Linked DNA regions of Caenorhabditis elegans. The protein of the gene in region 2 purifies or fractionates together with the protein of the main gene of each other region. This does not show direct contact. Each region holds a gene or a part of one and is shown on either strand. Other genes may lie near its edges.

What was found. Proteins that work in one complex are often made in the same cells at the same time.
Region 1: the proteins of nft-1 (region 2) and semo-1 fractionate together in Caenorhabditis elegans (co-fractionation; one large-scale study listed by BioGRID). This does not show direct contact.
Region 3: the proteins of nft-1 (region 2) and dpf-4 fractionate together in Caenorhabditis elegans (co-fractionation; one large-scale study listed by BioGRID). This does not show direct contact.

The regions. Positions count from the first base shown.
Region 1 is NC_003282.8:14,049,218-14,057,236, reverse strand, and holds semo-1 (Methanethiol oxidase), read right to left. Parts: upstream 6,038-8,019; 5' UTR 6,016-6,037; coding exon 5,842-6,015; intron 5,743-5,841; exon of another isoform or gene 5,722-5,742; intron 5,444-5,721; exon of another isoform or gene 5,423-5,443; intron 5,402-5,422; coding exon 5,304-5,401; intron 5,289-5,303; exon of another isoform or gene 5,268-5,288; intron 5,242-5,267; exon of another isoform or gene 5,220-5,241; intron 4,963-5,219; exon of another isoform or gene 4,942-4,962; intron 4,870-4,941; exon of another isoform or gene 4,845-4,869; intron 4,777-4,844; coding exon 4,406-4,776; intron 4,329-4,405; exon of another isoform or gene 4,308-4,328; intron 4,254-4,307; coding exon 4,051-4,253; exon of another isoform or gene 3,586-4,050; intron 3,501-3,585; exon of another isoform or gene 3,476-3,500; intron 3,413-3,475; exon of another isoform or gene 3,392-3,412; intron 3,266-3,391; exon of another isoform or gene 3,245-3,265; intron 3,069-3,244; exon of another isoform or gene 3,047-3,068; intron 2,929-3,046; exon of another isoform or gene 2,908-2,928; intron 2,743-2,907; exon of another isoform or gene 2,722-2,742; intron 2,705-2,721; exon of another isoform or gene 2,684-2,704; intron 2,442-2,683; exon of another isoform or gene 2,421-2,441; and 20 more.
Region 2 is NC_003281.10:11,922,335-11,929,913, reverse strand, and holds nft-1 (Nitrilase homolog), read right to left. Parts: upstream 6,029-7,579; 5' UTR 6,025-6,028; coding exon 5,977-6,024; intron 4,920-5,976; coding exon 4,824-4,919; intron 4,666-4,823; coding exon 4,510-4,665; intron 4,464-4,509; coding exon 4,308-4,463; intron 3,162-4,307; coding exon 2,852-3,161; intron 1,253-2,851; coding exon 1,028-1,252; intron 965-1,027; coding exon 789-964; intron 737-788; coding exon 581-736; 3' UTR 536-580; downstream 1-535. Other genes in the region: dolk-1 (dolichol kinase), read left to right, coding at 1-25; Y56A3A.22 (DUF1279 domain-containing protein), read right to left, coding at 6,227-6,392, 7,028-7,188. UniProt on the Caenorhabditis elegans protein: Cleaves A-5'-PPP-5'A to yield AMP and ADP.
Region 3 is NC_003281.10:5,857,442-5,862,445, forward strand, and holds dpf-4 (Peptidase S9 prolyl oligopeptidase catalytic domain-containing protein), read left to right. Parts: upstream 1-1,866; 5' UTR 1,867-1,904; intron 1,905-2,171; 5' UTR 2,172-2,190; coding exon 2,191-2,549; intron 2,550-2,606; coding exon 2,607-3,105; intron 3,106-3,242; coding exon 3,243-3,859; intron 3,860-3,913; coding exon 3,914-4,370; 3' UTR 4,371-4,467; downstream 4,468-5,004. Other genes in the region: alh-9 (Putative aldehyde dehydrogenase family 7 member A1 homolog), read left to right, coding at 24-481, 530-1,255, 1,304-1,508; dnpp-1 (Aspartyl aminopeptidase), read right to left, coding at 4,550-4,643, 4,691-5,004.

The DNA of each region.
Region 1 (8,019 bases), on a different chromosome or scaffold from region 2:
GCATTTAGTTCGAGTGATCATCTTTTTTGAGTTTTCATTTTTGAGATATTCAGAAAAGTTGTAGGTCATTTGAATCAAATGTCTTTCATTTTTAAAACTTATAAACACACAGTGAAACTGAAAATAATTTTGTTTTTGAAAAGGATTATTTGGAAAGGTGACAAAACTGTTTTGAAAACAATTAATTTTGGCTCAGACGGGTTTAGTTTGCAGGAACTTTGTTAGTTTTCCACTACTGTCTATTCATATAATGAACTGAACAAAAAATCAAAAATGAAAAAGACAATCGATAAAAGGAGCCAGTTTTTATTGAGGAGAATTCCGGATGTTCATATATTTTCTTCCTACTTTCTAATCCATAATTTTTTTGTGCAATTCTACTAAATTCCCGTGATTTCAACTCGCCACATTCTTTGTACCATATATGATGATTGCTTCGTTCACATTACAAAAATCCCCTTTTTTCAATATTTATTCGCCTGGTTTCCCCCGTTTTTCTAGTTGCATCATGAGTTGAAAAATCCTTTCAATTTTTTTTTGAAAATCTGAATGAATTGTGATGAATATGTACAAGCTAATTTTTTATGCAAAACATTTTAAAAAAAACCAAATTAAATCCAAATATCCGATGTACAATCTCCACCGGGATAACGCATCTCGTGAGCCAAATAGGGACCTCCTTCAATTTTTCCAAAATCGATCAAAAAGTCTCGATTTATTTCCATTTTTCCAGATTCTGGATCAATGTTGACTTGAACCATTGTGGCGCCAGATCTGAAAAATGACAGGGTTGCAAACGCGCTCCATTGAGAAAGTAGGACGAATTTGGTGTTTTTTTTTTGAAATTATCATGAATTATTAAGCGGACGAAAAGAAACATTACCAAGTCTCGACGTGACTATTTTTTCAACGGAAAACGTGTGTGCGCCTTTAAAGAGTAGTGTAATTTCAAACTTTCGGTGCTGCAGCTATTGAACTGTTTTATCGATTTCTCATAGTTGTTCTTTTTTTTAAAAATTATTTAGACTAGAAAAACAAAGAAAAACATGAATTCGTGATAAAATCAACTCAGCAAGTGAGAGAGAATCGCTGCAAATATGAAAGATTTTTGAAACGGTGATTTTTTTTCTAAACAATAATTTCACCATGAGCGTATTTTTAGTGTAAACTACAAAATTCGAGATAATTTGTTTCGTAAGGACAAAGGTTCAATGAATAAAATGAATAAAAAAGAATTACATTTCGCGAATAGCCCCACAAGTGAGCGGAAATAGTTTGCTCAAAATATACTACATTTATGAAACGGTAACTTTTTTCTCAGAAATAATTCTAAATTTTTTCATAAGTAGCACTCACTTGACATGTTCTGGATAGAATTGATCATCCCATTTCTTGTATAAAGAAGTTGTAACATAAAGTCTCTTTCCATCCAATGACAACTGTAACATCTGTGGACCTCCTTCAATTTTCCGTCCCTTCACATAAAGTGCTTCAATTGGTTTTTCACCTTCTAGAACTTTTACATTTGATTCCGTATGTACACTTCCTCCAATATAAACTTGAGAATTCAATTTCACCTTCAATGGATCAGAAATGTCATATTGACGAATATCTCCATGAAGCCAACACGAGACATACAGGAAACGATCATCCATTGAGATAAGGATATCAGTTATAAGAGCTGGCATTTCTGGAAGAGCCCATCCACTTACTTTTTTAGAAGGAATGAAGGCAACGAGAGTAGCTGCATGGGTTGTTGAGTTCTGGAATTATTTGAAAAATTGAATGTTTCTCATTCAACGTATCACTGAAGATTTGTTTTCAGTAGTATTCAACAAACATTTGGCAACTATTTTCATACTGACTATCAGAATTTTGAGATTTTACAAGAAAAAAAATACAAAGTGTGTTAAAAGAACACCTCGAGAACAGGAAAGAAGCAACTTTTCTGAAAAACTTTATTTTCAAAAAGAGGTTATCGCGAACTGTCGAAATAAGTGTAGGTATATGCGCTGCCAAAATTATATTAACTTTTTGAAACAGTAAATTTTATGTTTTTTTGTAATTTTGCCTGAAAAGTTGGTGGCCATTCACAAAAAATAAATTTTTTGATCGAGCTTTTTTGTTTCAAGGGCACACTGCTGAAGTGGATATAATTTTATTTAAAACGTAATTTTTGTTTTCAAAAGTTTACACGAAAATCTACTGTTTCAACAAACTCATTTAACATCTCGCTAGAAAATTGTTTTCAATTGAACTGTGGCGTGACTTATCGACTGTTCTAAAAGAGCTTTAAAAATCATGAGACATTTAATGTTTCGATTGGCTGATTAAATGTTTCAAGTTGAACAAGGTGTCAATTTTTTAAAATTATATGTTTCAGATGATCTAGAAAACCCGGTGAGATTTCTAATTGTCACTCGAACTTGATTTCCAGTGAGACTATACTTTGCACAGAAAGGAATTTTTGTTTCGCAGCAATGCAGCAGAAGCAGAGATAATTTTACTTAAATCTGAAATCGGTTTTTTTTTCAAAAATTTAATAAAAAAGTCTATAACTCATTAAACATCTTACTTGAAAATTATTTGATTGCATTGACATTGCTAGAAAAACTAACAAAATCATAAAATTTTTAATGTTTCAATTAGCTGATTAAACGTTTTGGTTTGAATAAAGTTTCACTGAGACTATAATGTCCGCGCTTTAAAATTATTTTTTAGTGTCGAAAAAAAAATATTTTTTCTTTCTTTAATTGACCGAGTTTTCTTGATTCACAGTCACGCAGAAAAAATCGATTTGAACTTTTTGTCAAAACTAAATGCATGCTGCTTTTTAAAAAAAGGTTCATCAAAAATCTACTGTTTCACTAACCTAATTTTAAAAAACTCGGAAAAATACGTTTTTAGTATTTGCATCATTGTTAAACGTTTAATGAATCTATAAACTGATTTAAAAATAAATTATTAAAAACACTCAAAGATATTTTTTAAAAATTATTATATGTTTCAAGTAGTCTATAAATACTGAAACTATTTTGAATTAATATTGGTTCTTCCAAATGAAAAAAAAGAAAAATAGCAGTTTGGTCTACACAACTTTCTCTGAATTTCAAATTCAAATTATGCCCTAATCATGTATGCCAAAGCATTAAAGGATTTGAAATGTACGAAAGCGCTCTGATTTTCTCAAAATGTCCACATTTTTCTCGAAAGTTAGTCATTTTGCCAAAGAACTTGCTCAGAAAACTTCGGGAATGAAAAAAAATCAATTGAATAGAACGGAAGTTTTGATAACAACGTATTGAAACAATTTATTTATTTTTAAACTTGAAAGTTTCTAATGCAATGTTTCGGTGATCCCAGAAAGTTACACATCAGCTTACAACACTGCTATTCAATTACTGACAACGAAAATATCAGTACTATTGATAAATTGTCAACTCCCCCTACGAAGATCATTTATATTTGATTTCATACGTTTTTTTGGATTAGCAAATGAAATAAACTTCCAATAAGATACAATATGATAACCTATTGAAACAGTTTTCTAAAAGTTTTCTAAAAATTCTTTTCAATATTACTCACCTCCTCAACAGGATGAATTCTAAAAACCGGATCTATTTCAATAGATGACAGGAATACCAACAGAACTAAACTAAAAACAACAGAGTGTGTTATGAGGACAAATTGAAACTGAAAAGTTTTTTGAATGTTTCAATGTTTTCGTAAAATCACGGCATTGATCTCCAAAACTGTTTAACCATTTTCAATTGACTGAAACTTTTGAAAAATCAAACACTCTACTGAAGAGTTTTCATGGAATAAAATTTGAGTACTCTGGAAGAAGCAACAGTTTTGGAAACTTTGCTACCTCCCAATCAAGGATGTGCGGCAGTTCTCAAAATTTTCCGAGCTCGGCAAATTAGTTTTACAATAATTTTAATCTTGATTCTATTCTACGGTTTTAACATATTAATCTCAGTTTCTAAACAAATAATAACTTATTGAAACATTTCAATTTTTCTGAAAATTCTATTGAATATTACTCACCTCCTCAACAGGATGAATTCTAAAAATTCCTGATCCAAGAGCACATCCCACAAAAGCGTGCTCACTGGTTGGCTCATGGAGGAATCGAACTTCAAGTGGAAGTGCTCCAAGTGGCTGTGGTAGATCAATTGTTTGAAGATATTTCTTAGAGTCCCATTCGAAAATATGAACACTGTTTCCGTAGAGACCCTCTCCGACGTGAGCTGGAAAATTTCATGTTTTAAAAAAATTTGTAACTTTTTGGTTTTTAGTGATGCTGATGGCTCATGCCGCAAGGAATAATTTTAATTTTTGGTAAAATGAAACAAGAGGTGTTGAAACAGTGATTTTTTAAAAGTATTTTCAGTTTTCCCACCTGGATTAAATCCCTTTTTAATATGATTCGGTGATCCCCATTCCGTAGAAATCATCACATTTCTCCTTGGCTGGTACCAGAAATCATAGTTAAACGGAACAGTCTTCTCGTCAGCTGGCCATGTTCCTTTCGGCTCAAATGTCTTTCCATCCAACAACAAAAAGTTACCAGATGGAGTTCCATTAGCTTCTCCCAAAGTACTAATCATAATATTTCCATCGGCAAGACAATGTGAAGTATGTGGAAATGAAAGGTTTAGAGAATGAAGTTTTGATGGTTCAATTGTATGTTCAAGATAGATTTTACGCTCATTTTCTACGTTGATAATGTAGATACGGTCAGAGTTCAGGCAAGGAACGATCAAATGGGATCTGAAATTATTTAGAAATTATTCTACTGTTTTGGTTTGTTAATGAAAGTTCTCCGATCTAAAAATTTATTGATCTTTCAGTTGACTGAAATGTGAAGTTTGTAAATTCGAATTAAAAAACTGTTTCAAGAAATTGGTTCAAGTCTAACTAAATTTATAAAAATGATCTTCTCGTGAATGTCGCTCTGATCTGATTTTATTACAAAGCTTTTGCATCCGTATCAAGGGTCGTGGAAAAATTTAGGTTTATCAGTTTTTTCTTGAGAAAATCTAAAAATCAGAAAAACAAACAAGGGAGAATCTATAGATTTATCAAATATATGATGATTTTGTTTGAAGAATAAAAAAAAACATGTTATTGTGACCACTTTTTAAAAAAAAAAAGTCGGAAAACCACACTTCAAAAATGAAAATTTAATTAAAAAAATTTTTAAACAAAACTTGATGTTTCGAACAGTTGATTTAATTTTGCCACCTGTACTAATAGAGTAATAGTATCATCCTAAAACAATAAATATTTTAACTAACCTCTTCTCAGTTGGTTTGTCATGACAAGAAGAGCACGCATTCCATCCAGTATGATGGACTTCATCACCAATATGTGGCACATCAACTCGGCTGATCACCTGAAAATATTAATTTTACTGGAAAATGTTATGATTGATCGATCTCTAAATGCTAAAACTACGAGTGGATATCAATATTTTGAAACCGATAATTTTTTCAATTAAATAATAATTTTTAATTTTTACTATACAATCATATATCGTGCAAATCGATTTAAAACTCTTAAGCTTGAGATAACCTTGAAATCAGAGAGATCAAATCAAAGTTTCCTGATTTATTTTTGGCTGATGCAACAGAGATGAAAATTGCAAAATTGCAATTTTATTCCGGTAATTTGAACAATTTTTCTGATATAGAAACAGTTATTTCAAGCTTTATGGACGTGATCTACAAAAGACAATCAAAAAATTAGTTATTCCTAAAACTCAATACGTCTTTTTGAAACAGTATTTTTTTCCTCCAAACAAGAAAAAAAATCAACTTTACAAATAAAATTTACCTGACAAAAAGTGTCACTCTCTGGATTCACATCAACTGTAAAAATGGCATCAGGACCATCAGCTGCATTTGGAGCAGTCACAAATAAAACTTCTTCTCGTGGTCCTTTTATAGCATCAGCTGGAGATGCATATCCTGGACCACCATGACATTTTAAACCACAGTTTGGGGACATTTTGGTTTTTGGGATTTTTGATCTGCAAATATTGACTTTTTTTTAAAATCAAACAATATAATCAAATCAGTAGTATGGATTAAAAAGTTACATACATACAATTTTTTGCTGAATTAAACTATAGCAAAATTAAATTTTTTTCAAGTTTGACACTATTTTTGTAGCTTTGAAAACAAGTTGCACGAAAACTTTTGGGCAAACATTTTTAGCTTCAGAAAAAATTACTTTTTTTGTCACAGCTCTAAAAAGGGGAATGTAAAAATTAAAAAAAAAATACAGCGAAAATTTGTAAGTTAAAAAACTAACGCGGATGTAGCAAAACCAAAAAAAACTGAAAAATGTGAAACTTATAAACACACAGTGAAACTGAAAATAATTTTGTTTTTGAAAAGGATTATTTGGAAAGGTGACAAAACTGTTTTGAAAACAATTAATTTTGGCTCAGACGGGTTTAGTTTGCAGGAACTTTGTCAGTTTTCCACTACTCTCTATTTATATAACGAACTGAACACAAAAATCAAAAATGAAAAAGACAATCGACAACAGAAGGGGATGACATTGATAAGGTATCACTAGCTGTTCTATGTCTTATCTCTAGCAGTCATCAAGATGATTGTTCAATGAACCAACTAGAAATCTACTAGAAACACGTAGGAAATTATTCTGATACAAACTACAAGTACCGTTTCTGGTTGAGATTAATTTTTGAATTTAGAGATGAATTTGTGAACATTGTGTGACTGATTCAAAGTGCACAGATATTTTGATAACATTTTTTTTTAATTTTGGAAAACCGATCTGACTACAAAACGTGAATTTATTTGAAATTGAAAATAGTGAGTTTTTTCGTTTTTAATTTATCTTCTGATACTAGGCTTAACAGAAAAATAATAAACAATTATTCAGGGTTGTGCGCGCGACAAATTCCAAAATTTGAAGGACAAAATTATTGATGAAGATGGGATCAACTGTAAATTATTGAAAATCTCCATGAGGATTCCTTGAAACAGTAAAAAAATGTATCGCGAATATAGCAAATTTTTAGAAAAACTCAGCTTGGGTTAATTAAATTTGCAAATTTCTTATTACGTTTTCCACTAATAAAAAGGTTTAAACAACAATTTTATTTATTTTTTATTTATTTTAGGTGCTGCAAACGGCAAACGGCAAATGTCACTCGCTAAAAAAAATTGGTCGACGATGAAAAAAAAACTTTCGGCGTCTTTCAGCATGCGAAATTTTTTTTATTTTTATTTTTTTTTTATTATTGGAAATATAAACAAATTTGAATATTAAGTTGTTCATATTTCCTCATGAGAACAGTCATTCAAATCCACCTTAAGCATAAAAATCTCCACAAATATATGGGGAAATTACAGTTAATATTGCTACATGTTAATACTGTTACAATACTAATAGAAAACTCATACCAATAGTAAAATGAGGCATGTTATCAATCTTTCATTTGAATTTTATTGGATTTTCACATTGCTTCTCATTGTATTATATAAAATTTATTGAAACGCCTAATGAAGTTTTAGTGAAATAGTTAAACATTTTTTTGCAAACTTTAAGCAAACGTAAGCCGTTAATAGCTTAACTGTTAACTGGTGCAATTTTGCTTAAATTTGCAGTTTTGAAGTTTTTCTACAATCGGTAAATTTATTCACATTTCAAGTTAGTCTCGATTTGAAATGCAAGTTGAGCGCTTTTAATATGTTTTTTTCACATAAAATTTAATATTGGGGTTTTTTTCAATTTTTCCGATTTTTTAAAAACAATCAATTTTCAAAATTTCTAAGTCAAAATTTCTAATCAAGACAAATTTGGTTACAATTTTTTAAAACATTTTTTGCAAAAATTTTGGCACGGTGAAGTACGGTGTTTCAAAAAAAAGTATACAAAACAGTGAAGCAAGCAAAAGTCTGTGAATTAGACAGAAATGAAAATTTAAAAATACATAAAACTGAAGCGCAACGGTGGGAAATTTGTAAACCGCCTAAT
Region 2 (7,579 bases):
ACTCGTCACCTATCTTATTCTATGACTAACCGCTAGATATCACATTTTCTAATTAATTGTTTAATATATTACCTATATGCGAAATTTTGGGATTTTGGCGCCGAAAGAACGGTACCGGGTCTCGACACGAAACAAAATATTTCATTGAATGCGGTGCGCCTTTAAATGAGTACTCATTTCGGCTTGATCTACGTAGATCTACAAAAAATGCGGCAGAGTTCTCAACTGATTTCGCATGGTTAAGAACGTGTTGACGTCACATTTTTAAGGGCAAAAAATTCCCGCATTTTTTTGTAGATCAAACCGTGTTGGGACAGCCTGGCACCACGTGATGAGCACTGTAATTTCAAATTTCCGTTGCTGTCGATTTTTATCGATTTTTATTTTTATGATGAAAAATCCATGAAAATTCCGAGTTTTTAGCGCAAAATCGCAGTACCACTTTCGGGTTCATATGCTTGTAATTCATTCCGAACATGTAGATTTTTTTCACTTTTCTCCCCGTTTCTCTGTACTTGTATTTCAAAATATTATAATAATAATCTATTTATTCATAAATATAATAATCACACAATTGTTTCTACATAAGATTTCTATACACCACCGCTTCTTCTGCCATCTGTTCATTGGATCGTGGCTTTCGCTCGGGCTCCTTATCATGTGACGCAAGTTTTTGGTAGATTTCGTTATCGCCAAAGTCTCCGGCGCGGCGGGGAAGGATATGAATGTGAACGTGCTGAAAATGTTCAAAATTAAATTGGTAAAATGCTGCGGAAAAAAGCCCGTACTGGAACAGTCTGCCCAGCATCCTTCCCATCTTGCACACAAATCGTCGTCGACGTCACATTATGATGCTTCTCCAGCATTGCTTGAACCTTTTTCGCGACGATGAACAAGTCGGCAGTCTCAGCATCAGTCAAGTCGGTCAATCTTGGGACTACTCGTTTTGGGCTTACAAGAACGTCTGAAAATGGGGGAAATTAGCTTAATTTTAATTTTTTTTTTAAATAAATAATTTCACACTAACGTCCATCAGTGACTGGTTTCAAGTTGACAAATACAAATGAGTGCGGAGTACTGTAGAAAATATGATCAGCTGGAATATTGAATCGGGCGAATTTCAGGCCACCAGTTTCAGAAGATTTTTCATTTATGTGAAGTGTGTAGAGATCGGAGCGTCTGTGGGAGAATACTGGTTGCATTTCACGAAGAGTGTCCACGTAGCTCAAGTCGATTTCAGCAAAGCACATGTCTGAAAAATATTGATTTTTGTTTAATTTTAGTAAAAATCGATAATTTTTCTATTAATAAGCTTGTCTAATGTTTTAAAGAATTTTTAGAATTTCTTAAAATTTTCTGGAAATTTCTACTTTTTTTTGAGTTTTCTAGATTTTTTAGAATCAAAAAAAGGTCCGACTTTTCTTAAATTTTCTAGAATTTTCTAAATTTGTTTAAAATTTGTTTAGATTTATTTTTTAATTCTAGAATCTTCTCGAATTTCTTAGAATTTTCCGGACATTTCTAAAAAATTTCTAATTTTTTTCTTAAATTTTCTAGAATTTACTAATTTTTTAGAATTTTCCAGATATATTTTTTTAATTCTAGAATTTTGATTTATATAGAATTTTTTAGAATTTTTCAAAGAATTTACCAGAGATTTCTAAGAAAATTCAAAATTTTTTTGAATTTTCTAGATTTTTTAGAATTAAAAAAAAAGGTCCGACCTTTCTTGAATTTTCTAGAATTTTCTAAAAGGGATTAGAATTTTTTTTTCAATTCTAGAATTATCTAGATTTTTTCAGAATTTTTTTAGAATTTACTAGATATGTCTAAGAAAATTCAATTTTTTTTAAAATTTTCTAGATGTTTTAGAATTAAAAAAATTTCACAAACTTTTCAAAAAAAAATTTTTTTTTCAATGTTCTAAAATTCTCTAGTTTTCAAATCTTTTTTAGAATTTTCTAAAAAATTTCAGAGTTTTTGAGAAAGTTTTGAAAAATTTTTTTAGCATTAAAGAATTGAAATATGTCAGATTTTTCTGAAATTTTCTAGAACTTTCTAGATTATTTTTATAATAAATTTTTTTTTTAAAAGAACGTTCAATTCTAGAACTTTCAAAAAAAAATTCCAAAATAACCATAAAATTTTAGATTTTTTTTTATTTTTCAATGATTTCTACATATTACAGGAACCCTAAATTCTGAGAATACGTATTGCACAACATATTTGACGCGCAAAATATCTCGAAGCGAAAACTACAGTAATCCTTTAAATGACTACTGTAGTGCTTGTGCCGATTTACGGGTTCAATTTTTTAAATGAATCGATTTATCGCTAGAGTACTTAATTAAGCGAAAATTGAGAAAATTCATTTCAAAAATGAAGCCCGTAAACCGACAAAAGCGCTACAGTAGTCATTTAAAGAATTACTGTAGTTTTCGCTACGAGATATTTTGCGCGTCAAATATGTTGTGCAATACGCATTCTCAGAATTTAGTGTTTCTGTAATACAAATCATTGAAAAATTTGAAAACAATGGCACAAAAAACGGAATTTTAGAAAATTATAGGAAAATTCTAGAAATTTTTCGAAATTTAAAGCCTTTTTTTAATTCCTGAAAAGGTTTTTACTTTTTTTGAATTTTCTAGAATTTTTTAGATATATTTTTAAATATTCTAGAGATTTCTAGAATTTCTTCAAATTTCCAGAATTTTTAGAATTTTCTAGATTTTTTCCTAATTTTTTAAGAATTTTTTTTCCAATTTTCTTTTAGAAAATTTAGCACTTTCTAGGCTTTTCTAAAAAATTTTAGACTTAAAAAATGTTTTAAGTTTTTCAGAATATTCCGCACCAACTCTCTCGGAACACTGTGCAACAACAGCGCCCCACGGATCAACAACCATCGAATGCCCATAAGACTGTCGTTTCGGATTGTGGGCCCCAGTTTGAGCAGCCGCCACCACATAGCACTGATTCTCGATTGCCCGGGCACGAAGCAGAGTTTCCCAGTGAGCAAGACCTGTATTCAGTGTGAATGCACTTGGAAATGAGAGCAGTTGGGCGCCGCGTTTACGGTTCCACAAGGACAGCTCTGGGAAGCGAACGTCGTAGCAAATTGAGAGTCCGAGACGTCCGATAGGGGTGTCAACTGGAGGAATCATCTGGAACTCGGAGTAGACAGACAAATTGCCGGAATCGAAGATTTCTGGCAAATCGACAAATTGCCGGAATTGAAAATTTCTGGCAAATCGGCAAATTGCCGGAATTGAAAATTTCTGGCAAATCGGCAAATTGCCGGAATTGAAAATTTCTGGCAAATCGGCAAATTGCCGGAATTGAAAATTTCTGGCAAATCGACAAATTGTCGGAATTGAAAATTTCCGGCAAATTAACAAATTGCCGGAATTGAAAATTTCTGGCAAATCGGCAAATTGTCGGAATTGAAAATTTCTGGCAAATCGACAAATTGCCGGAATTGAAAATTTCTGGCAAATCGGCAAATTGCCGGAATTGAAAATTTCTGGCAAATCGACAAATTGTCGGAATTGAAAATTTCCGGCAAATTAACAAATTGCCGGAATTGAAAATTTCTGGCAAATTGGCCAAATTGCCGGAATTGAAAATTTCTGACAAATTGGCTAAATTGCCGGAATTGAGAATTTCCGGCAAATTAACAAATTGCCGGAATTGAAAATTTCTGGAAAATTGGCCAAATTGCCGGAATTGAAAATTTCTGACAAATTGGCTAAATTGCCGGAATTGAAAATTTCTGGAAAATCCACAAATTGTCGGAATTGAAAATTTCCGGCAAATTGGCCAAATTGCCGGAATTGAGAATTTCTGGCAAATCGACAAATTGCCGGAATTGAAAATTTCTGGCAAATTGGCCAAATTGTCGAAATTGAGAATTTCTGGCAAATCGACAAATTGCCGGAATTGAAAATTTATGGCAAATCGACAAATTGTCGGAATTGAAACTTTCCGGCAAATTGGCCAAATTGCCGGAATTGAAAATTTCTGGCAAATCGGCAAATTGTCGGAATTGAACATTTCTGGCAAATCGACAAATTGCCGGAATTGAAAATTTCTGGCAAATCGGCAAATTGTCGGAATTGAAAATTTCTGGCAAATCGACAAATTGCCGGAATTGAAAATTCATGGCCAATCGACAAATTGCCGGAATTGAAAATTTCCGGCAAATTGGCCAAATTGCGGAATTGAAAATTTCCGGAAAATTGGTCAAATTGCCGGAATTGAAAATTTCTGGCAAATCGGCAAATTGCCGGAATTGAAAACTTAAAAAAAACCTCAGTGCCAGCCTTGCTGAACTCGCTCTCCATCAATCGTACTTTTCCAGGAATCTCCAAATCGAAGAGGTGAAGCTTGTTGTACTCAGCACGAGTTACTCCATCGGAATCTATGATCAGATGGGTGTTCCATGGATGAGCAGCGTCTGATGGATCCTAAACTTCTGAAGTTCAGCCATTATTAATTTTTTCAAGTATTAACCTTGTGATGAAGGCCTCCTAGTGAAAGCCAAATATTGTGTTTTCTCGCCAACTCCCGATATTTTTCCATATATTCACAGTCCGTAGCCATCGCCAAATCGATTTGCTCATTTTTGTTGAGCCCAATGAAATCGAAGCATTCTGGTAGGAAAACCATCTGGAAACATTTTTTTTACATGATTTTAAAAATTATTCGATTTATGATTAAAATTGCCACATTTTTCGGAATTTTCGAAATTTTTTTTTCCTATTTTTAATCCAAAAATTCCCGTTTTTTCGACGGCAGCTTTGCTCCGGGAGCCGTAGAATTTTTACCTCGCACTTCTTTTCTCCGGCTCTTTCGATCATATTTTTCGCGGCTTGAAAGTTCTTTTCCAGATCGTTGTCGCTTGTCATTTGACATACTGCGATCTGAAAATATTCTTGGTTCGCAAAAATTTGGAAAAAAACTTATTTTTTTGGGTCTCGAAACGACCGAATTTTGGGAAACGCGGATTTCTGGCTTCCCTCATAAATTGAAATGGAACAGTTTTGCTGAACTAGGCCATTTTGGCTCGGTCATATCTGGGGTAGATTTACGGCGCGTTGCGTGTCGCGTCGCGACTCGATTGTAAAACTAAATGTATTTGTCCGTGTGGAGTCCTGCAGGCGATTATCAATGGAGCGCGAAAAAATCAATGAGGAAGGCCAGAACCCCGTGAAAAATTCGCAGAAAAAACTGAAAAATTGGAAAAATATTTTTTTTCAAAAATACCATTTAAAACTATCCCAATTTTGATAAAAAAGTTTATAAAATCCAAATTTAACTAAAATTTCGTATTTTGCGCGAAAATTACGGTACCCGGCGGGTCTCGACACGACAATTTTTCGTTGAGGGGTGCGCCTTTAAAGAGAGGTACTGTAGCTTCAAACTTTCGTTTTTTTCGGAATTTTTATCGACTTTTCATAGTTTTTAAACAAATCGATAAAAAAGTTTAAAACTACAGTACTAAATTTGTCAATTTGCCGGAAATGCTCCATAACGGCAACTTGCCAATTTGCCGGAAATTTTCATTTTCGACAAATTGCCGGTTTGTCGATTTGCCGGAAATGTTCAAAAGCGGCAACTTGCCAATTTGCCGGAATTTTTTAGTTCCGGCAATTTGTGAATTTGCCAGAAATTTTCATTGCCGCCAAATTGCCGGTTTGCTGATTTGCCAGAAATTTTAATTTCCAGCAATTTGCCAATTTGCCGGAAATGTTCAAAAGCGGCAAATTACCTGCAGGTCTCACCACGAAAATTTTTGCTACATGTTTTTTTAATAATGCGCCTTTAAAGAGTGGTACTGTAGCTTCAAACTTTCGGAATTTTTTAAATCGATTTTTCATAGTTTTTTTCAAAACAACTCGATTAAAAAAAAAATTTTTTTTCTAATTTGTCGTGTCGAGACCCAGAAATTTCTGGAAAAAAAACCCCCGAAAATCTTACAAAATGCCGTCCAGTCGCCATTGTTCGCCGAAAAACTGTGCTCAGCATGCGGCTGTATAACAAGGAAATCAATTGAAAATTAATTTTCTAGTGTTTTTTGGCAATAATAATTAGGGAAAATGACCAGATTTATGAATAAAAAGTTAAAGCCAAATTTTTCGGGGGGAAAAATCAATTTATACACACTCGGAAGCACCCTAACAGAAGAAAAAACAGTCTAAAAAACACTGAAAAATAATATCTAATTAGATTAATCATCCTTCTTTTTATTATTATTATTATCATGGAGTTTCGTCGTCGTCGGCTCATTGAGCTTCTCATGCTCCTTCTGTAATCGTTGAACTTGTCCAATATGAGCAGTTGTCGCGTGAACACTGTTCTTACGGCTCACACTTCGAACTCCAAGGTGGCGATAGCTGGAAAATATGGAAAATTTTGGGGGTTTTTCAGTGAAAAATAGCCCGAAAAATTGGATTTTTAGCCAAAATCTTCAATTTCTGTCACTTTTTCCTTGAATTTTACTGATTTTTGTGCCAATTTCGATCAAAATAGAGCCTATATAGGCTTAAAAACGCGTAAAAACTACCAAAATCGAGCTTTAAAGCAGCGCCGCACAGAAAAAGATGCGGAGCGTATTTTTGCAACCCTGCGGCACGATTTTTTCCTCCTTTTTGAAAAATTGATCTTTTCCAATAAAATTTCGATTTCACTAGTTTTATTCACTTTTTTCGAAAAATGTGAATAAAACTAGTAAAATCGAAATTTTATTGAAAAAAAAAACCTTTTTTTAAAAATGAGGAAAAAACCGTGCCGCAGGGTTGCGAAATTACGCTCCGCCTCTTTTTCTGTGCGATGCTGCTTTAGGGCTCGATTTTGGTCATTTTTACGCGTTTTTAGGATTATTAAGGCTCTATTTCGACCAAAATTGGCATAAAATCGGTGAAATTCGACATGGAAATTTTGCCAAAATTGGGAATTTTAGAAGAATTTAGCCACAAAAATGTGTTTTTTTTGTCAAAAAATGGATTTTTCCCCTAAAAAAAATGCTCACCGATACCAGCGTCGTCCGTAATGTGCCTTATTCAGCTCATATTCACTTCGGACCTTGTACTCGACTTCTCGAGCGGTCTTCAGTTTTCCCAATCTTCGGAGAGTCCAGAAAGTGGCTTGAATGAGCAAAAGTGTCGTCATGTAGCGGAATGGCATTGCGATCTGAAAATTTAAATTTTTATTATTACACATACGCGAAAAAATACATTTTTTTGGAAAAAAAAATTATTTTTCTGGTTAAATTCTGCTAAAATTCGTAATTTTTTGGCAACATTTCCACGTCTTTTGTAGTATTACATATACAAAAATACTGTAATTGGTCTCGACACGATAACATTTTTTCTTCAATGTAAAAAAGATGTGCGCCTTTAAAGATTACTGTAGTTTTACTTGTTGTAATTTTCTTTGTTCTTCGTGAGAAATATTAAAAAATCGATGAAACTCCACAAAGTTTGAAACTACAGTACTCTTTAAAGGCGCACACCTTTTTAACATTGAAGAATTTCGCGTCTGTGTAATAACCAGGGCTTCCCTTTTTGTTCCTTTTTTCTTT
Region 3 (5,004 bases), 6.1 Mb from region 2:
GTTTTAAAACTTTCAAATTCCAGGTACAAAATGGAAACGTACAAGACTATGAAATCGCCATCTCTGAAGCTAAAAAGGCTTATAACGATTGGTGCGAGGTACCAGCACCACGACGTGGAGAAATCGTCCGTCAAATCGGAGACAAGCTCCGTACGCAGTTGCAAAACCTGGGAAAGCTCGTGTCCCTCGAGATGGGAAAAATTTCTGCCGAAGGAGTTGGAGAAGTTCAAGAATACGTCGATATTTGCGACTACGCTACTGGACTCTCTAGATCACTTGAAGGAAAAATCTTTCCTTCTGAGCGTCCAGGACACGCTCTTCTCGAACAATGGAATCCACTTGGAGTTGTTGGTGTGATTTCGGCTTTCAATTTCCCATGTGCAGTGTATGGATGGAATAACGCTTTAGCTCTTGTCACAGGAAATTCTGTTGTCTGGAAGCCAGCTCCATCCACACCATTGACAGCTATTGCTGTGACCAAGTAAGCTCGCTTATTTCATAATTGTAATCACTAAATAACTATTTTCAGACTTGTCGAGGAGGTTCTTGTTGCCAATAATGTAAATCCAGCTCTCTGTTCCCTTGTCTGTGGAGAGGGTGATGTCGGTCAAGCTCTTGTGAAGGATAAGAGAGTCAATCTAGTTTCATTCACCGGTTCATCAGAAATTGGAAAGATCGTTGGACAACAAGTTCAGGCTCGTTTCGGAAAGCTTCTACTCGAGCTCGGTGGAAACAATGCTATCATTGTTAACGAGGATGCTGATTTGAACATGGTTGTACCGGCAACAGTTTTCGCCGCCGTTGGAACTGCTGGACAGAGATGTACAACCACGAGAAGACTCATTGTTCACGATAAGGTTTACGATCAAGTTCTCGAGAGATTGAAGAAAGCTTATGCTCAATTTGAATCAAGAATCGGATGTCCATTGGATTCCAACACAATTATTGGCCCACTTCACAACCAACAGGCCGTTGGAAAGTACAAGGCTTCAGTTGCCGAAGCAGTTGCTTCTGGAGGAAAGATTGAGTACGGTGGAAAAGTTCTTGAGAGGGATGGAAACTTTGTTCTCCCAACAATTGTCACTGGATTGAAGCACGATTCTCCAGTTGTTCTTCGCGAGACTTTTGCCCCAATTCTCTATGTTCTGAAGTTCTCAACCCTCGAGGAAGCTATTGCAATCAATAATGAAGTTGATCAAGGATTGAGTTCTTCTCTATTTACAACAAATATTCAAAATGTTTTCAAATGGATGGGGTGAGATTTTCTGAAATTGTGAATTTAAAACTAACATTTAATTTTCAGACCAAAAGGAAGTGACTGTGGAATCGTCAATGTCAACATTCCCACATCTGGCGCAGAGATCGGAGGAGCCTTCGGCGGAGAAAAGGAGACCGGTGGAGGTCGCGAATCAGGATCCGACTCCTGGAGGCAGTACATGAGACGATCCACCTGCACGATCAATTACAGCAAGGAACTTCCTTTGGCTCAGGGAATTAAATTCGAATAGCTTAGTTTAGATTTTCTGTAAATATTCATTTCTCATTCAATTTGAGATGTTTTTTTTTCATGCATAATTATTCTCAGTTCCGTTCTAAAATTGCGTGTAATTCAACTCTTGTCCTCTCCTTTTGTGATTTGAATTTTTGTGCCATATCATTCCAAATGCTTAGTTTTTTTTTTAATGTTTGTTCAATAAACTTCCTTTTTTATTCATTCCACAAAATAAAGTGCAACATATTTTCAGCATATATGTCATAAAATTGACGAGACTGGTGAAAAACCGTACGCATACTTGAAAACCGATAAGCTGATTGGTTTCATCACTTTAAGTCATTTCCTAAAACTATAAATTCAATTTCACGCAGATTCTTCTCCGAATCTTCCGCTTGTTTTCTGCCCCAACGCAAGTTTTACTTTTTTTAAATACAATTATTATAATGATGGCATTTTTGTATGTTTAGGTGATGCCTGTTTTATAAATTAAGAGTTTTTTCTAAAAATGTTTTTAAACAACTTTAAACTAATCCACTTAGAAAGTCTGTCAAATTGAATTTTATTGATTGTTTTGGAAACAAACAAACCTCACAATTACAAAAACGCTTTCATTGTAAATATTGACGAATTTATCTCGAATATATTTATTTTTCTCTTAAAATAACTATTTTTACAGCATAAAAAGTGCCCGAAAAATGGCAACTGAAGCTGTCTACGGAAGTTGGGATAGTCCGATCACACCAGATCTCTTCGGAAAATGTAATTGCAAGTCTATCTGCGAGATGCAAGTTGTCGGTGGCAATGTCTACTGGATTGAACAGAATTCAGTAACTGGAAAACGAGAGCTTTACTCAAAACCAACGAATGGAGATACTCGTACACGCTGGGCTGATGGTCAATCTGTTCAAACTGCAATTCACGAGTACGGAGGAGGTGCTCTACATGTTCTTGCTGATGGATCAGTGCTGTTTGCTACGATCGAAGGAGTTTTCTATCAAAAGTCGGCGGATTCCGGAGTTGAGCAATTGGCAGAAGGAAATAATCGAATGTTTAGGTCAGGGATAATTTAAATGGTGTATAACTTTCAAAAATAAATAAAAAACATTTTCAGATTCTCCGACTTCTCAGCCACTGACACCCATGTATTTTGTGTTAATGAAACCCACCAAGCTGATGCAAAATTTCCCGAAAATCGACTAATCTCCATCGACCGAGCAACCAAGAATCAAAACGTCATAGCTCACGGAGCCGACTTTTACGCCTATCCAAGAGTCTCCCCGGATGGAAAAAAGCTTGTCTGGATGCAATGGAGCCTTCCAAATATGCCATGGGACGAGACATCCATCCGAATGGCTGATCTCAAAGGTGGAGAATCCAGCAATGAGGTGACGCTGAAGGACGGAACTGGAAAACAAATCAACTATTCCGAACCAACTTGGGATGGTGATGAGCTTTTAACTGTGAATGATAGCACAAACTGGTGGAATGTGTATAAATCAGCTGCAGAGCCAAATTCCGTCGAGAAGAACCTGAATCCAATTCAACGAGAGATCAGCTACCCGCTTTGGCAGCTTGGTTTCAGAAATTATGTTCTGAATAAAAAATATTTGGTGAGAATTTTAGATTGGAAATTCAAAACATTCTTCAAATATTTTAAACCTAAGTTTACAATTTTCAATATAATTAGTTGAACTAAACACAAAAATTCGAATTTTTAAATTGACCTAATGAAATTTAAATATTTCAGGTAATGAACGCAGACGGAATTTTGTATGTCCGATCGGGAGATGTTACTGTAGAGATTCCAACTCCAGGCTATACTGTATTTGGATATCTTTCACTCGACCAGAATGGTTCTGATCTTTTCGCAATTGCTTCTGGACCAAAACGAGCTTCAAGCGTTATTTCCATCGATCTCGCGAACAAAAATTTCCCATTAAAAGTTCATCGCGAATCCCGAGATTCTTCGGAAATCGACGCTCTCGAGATTTCGGAACCAGAAGAATTTGTGTTCAAATCGGATGGAGTTGATGTTTCTGGTTATTTTTATCCACCGAAAAACTGTTCATATTCTGCTCCAGCTGGAACACTTCCTCCAGTTTTACTTCTCGGACATGGTGGCCCGACGGCTCCAGCTCAGAATAATTTGGATCTTAAAAAACAGTTCTTCACGTCGAGAGGTATTGCTGTTTTTGATGTAAATTATCGAGGATCAACTGGATTTGGAACTGAATTCCGGAGAATGCTTTATAAAAATTGTGGAGTAGCTGATAGAGATGATATGTTGAATGGAGCAAAAGCACTTGTTGAGCAAGGAAAAGTGGATGCCGAAAAAGTTCTGATCACTGGAAGTTCATCTGGAGGGTAGGAATTTAATATTATAGTCATTGTTAAAGTTTTATAAATATTTTTATTCAGGTATCTGATTCTGAGCTGTCTTATCTCACCGAAAAATATCATAAAAGCAGCAGTTTCTGTGTATGGAGTTGCTGATCTATTGGCTTTAGATGAAGATACTCATAAACTGGAAAGATGTTACAATGAGATGCTTATCGGAAAATATCCTGAGCAAGCGAGCATTTACGAAGAAAGAAGTCCCATTTATCATATTGATAAAATTAGAACTCCTATTGCATTCTTGCATGGAAGGGAGGATACGGTAGTACCGATGAGCCAATCTATCACAATGTATGAGAAGATCCGTGCTAGTGGAGTTACAACTGCTCTGATGCTTTTCGATGGAGAAGGACATGGATTTAGGAATGGACAAGTGATCAAGGAAAGCACCGAAGCCACTTTCTACTTTTTGATGAAGGCCGTTGGAATTGAACCATCAATTAGTTCGAAGATCGAAATTGTTAATCCGAAGCATTAGATTTGTTTTTGTTTAAATTGTTATCTATAAAATTTCAGCTTTTAAAAAATGCATTGCTTTATTTATTTGAAAACCAAATAAATTATAGAAATTAATATTCACAGAGAAACTGAAGATTGGATATCACGACGCGATTAAATAGTAGAAATTATGATTGGGAAGGATCAACATTGATTTGCCTATTGCATGTTGGAGAGGACAGTTGACAGACGTTCGTAGAATGTAGAGTAGAGAGTGGTGGCCTGGTAGATGCTCGAAGTGTCGGCAAACTCGCTGAAATCAAGAAAATAAATGATGTGATTTAAAAGTTAAATCCCTACCGAATCGAGTGCATAGCCAACTGTGGGCATCCTACATCGACAGTCTGCAAGCCAAGTTTTGTGGCAAGAATCGGTCCAACCGTCGATCCACAAGGAGAATCATTGCGAACGACGACAACTTGAAGAGGAACTTGAGCTTCGAATGCAACTTGCTTGAGAGCAGCGTGTGTGGTTGAAGTTGTTGCATATCGTTGATTGACGTTTACTTTGACGACGACTCCACCATGGAATGCTGGACGATGGTTCTCTTCGTGTTTTGCCGAATAGTTTGGATGCGTGGCATGAGCTTGATCTGCAGAGATGAGCATGCTCTT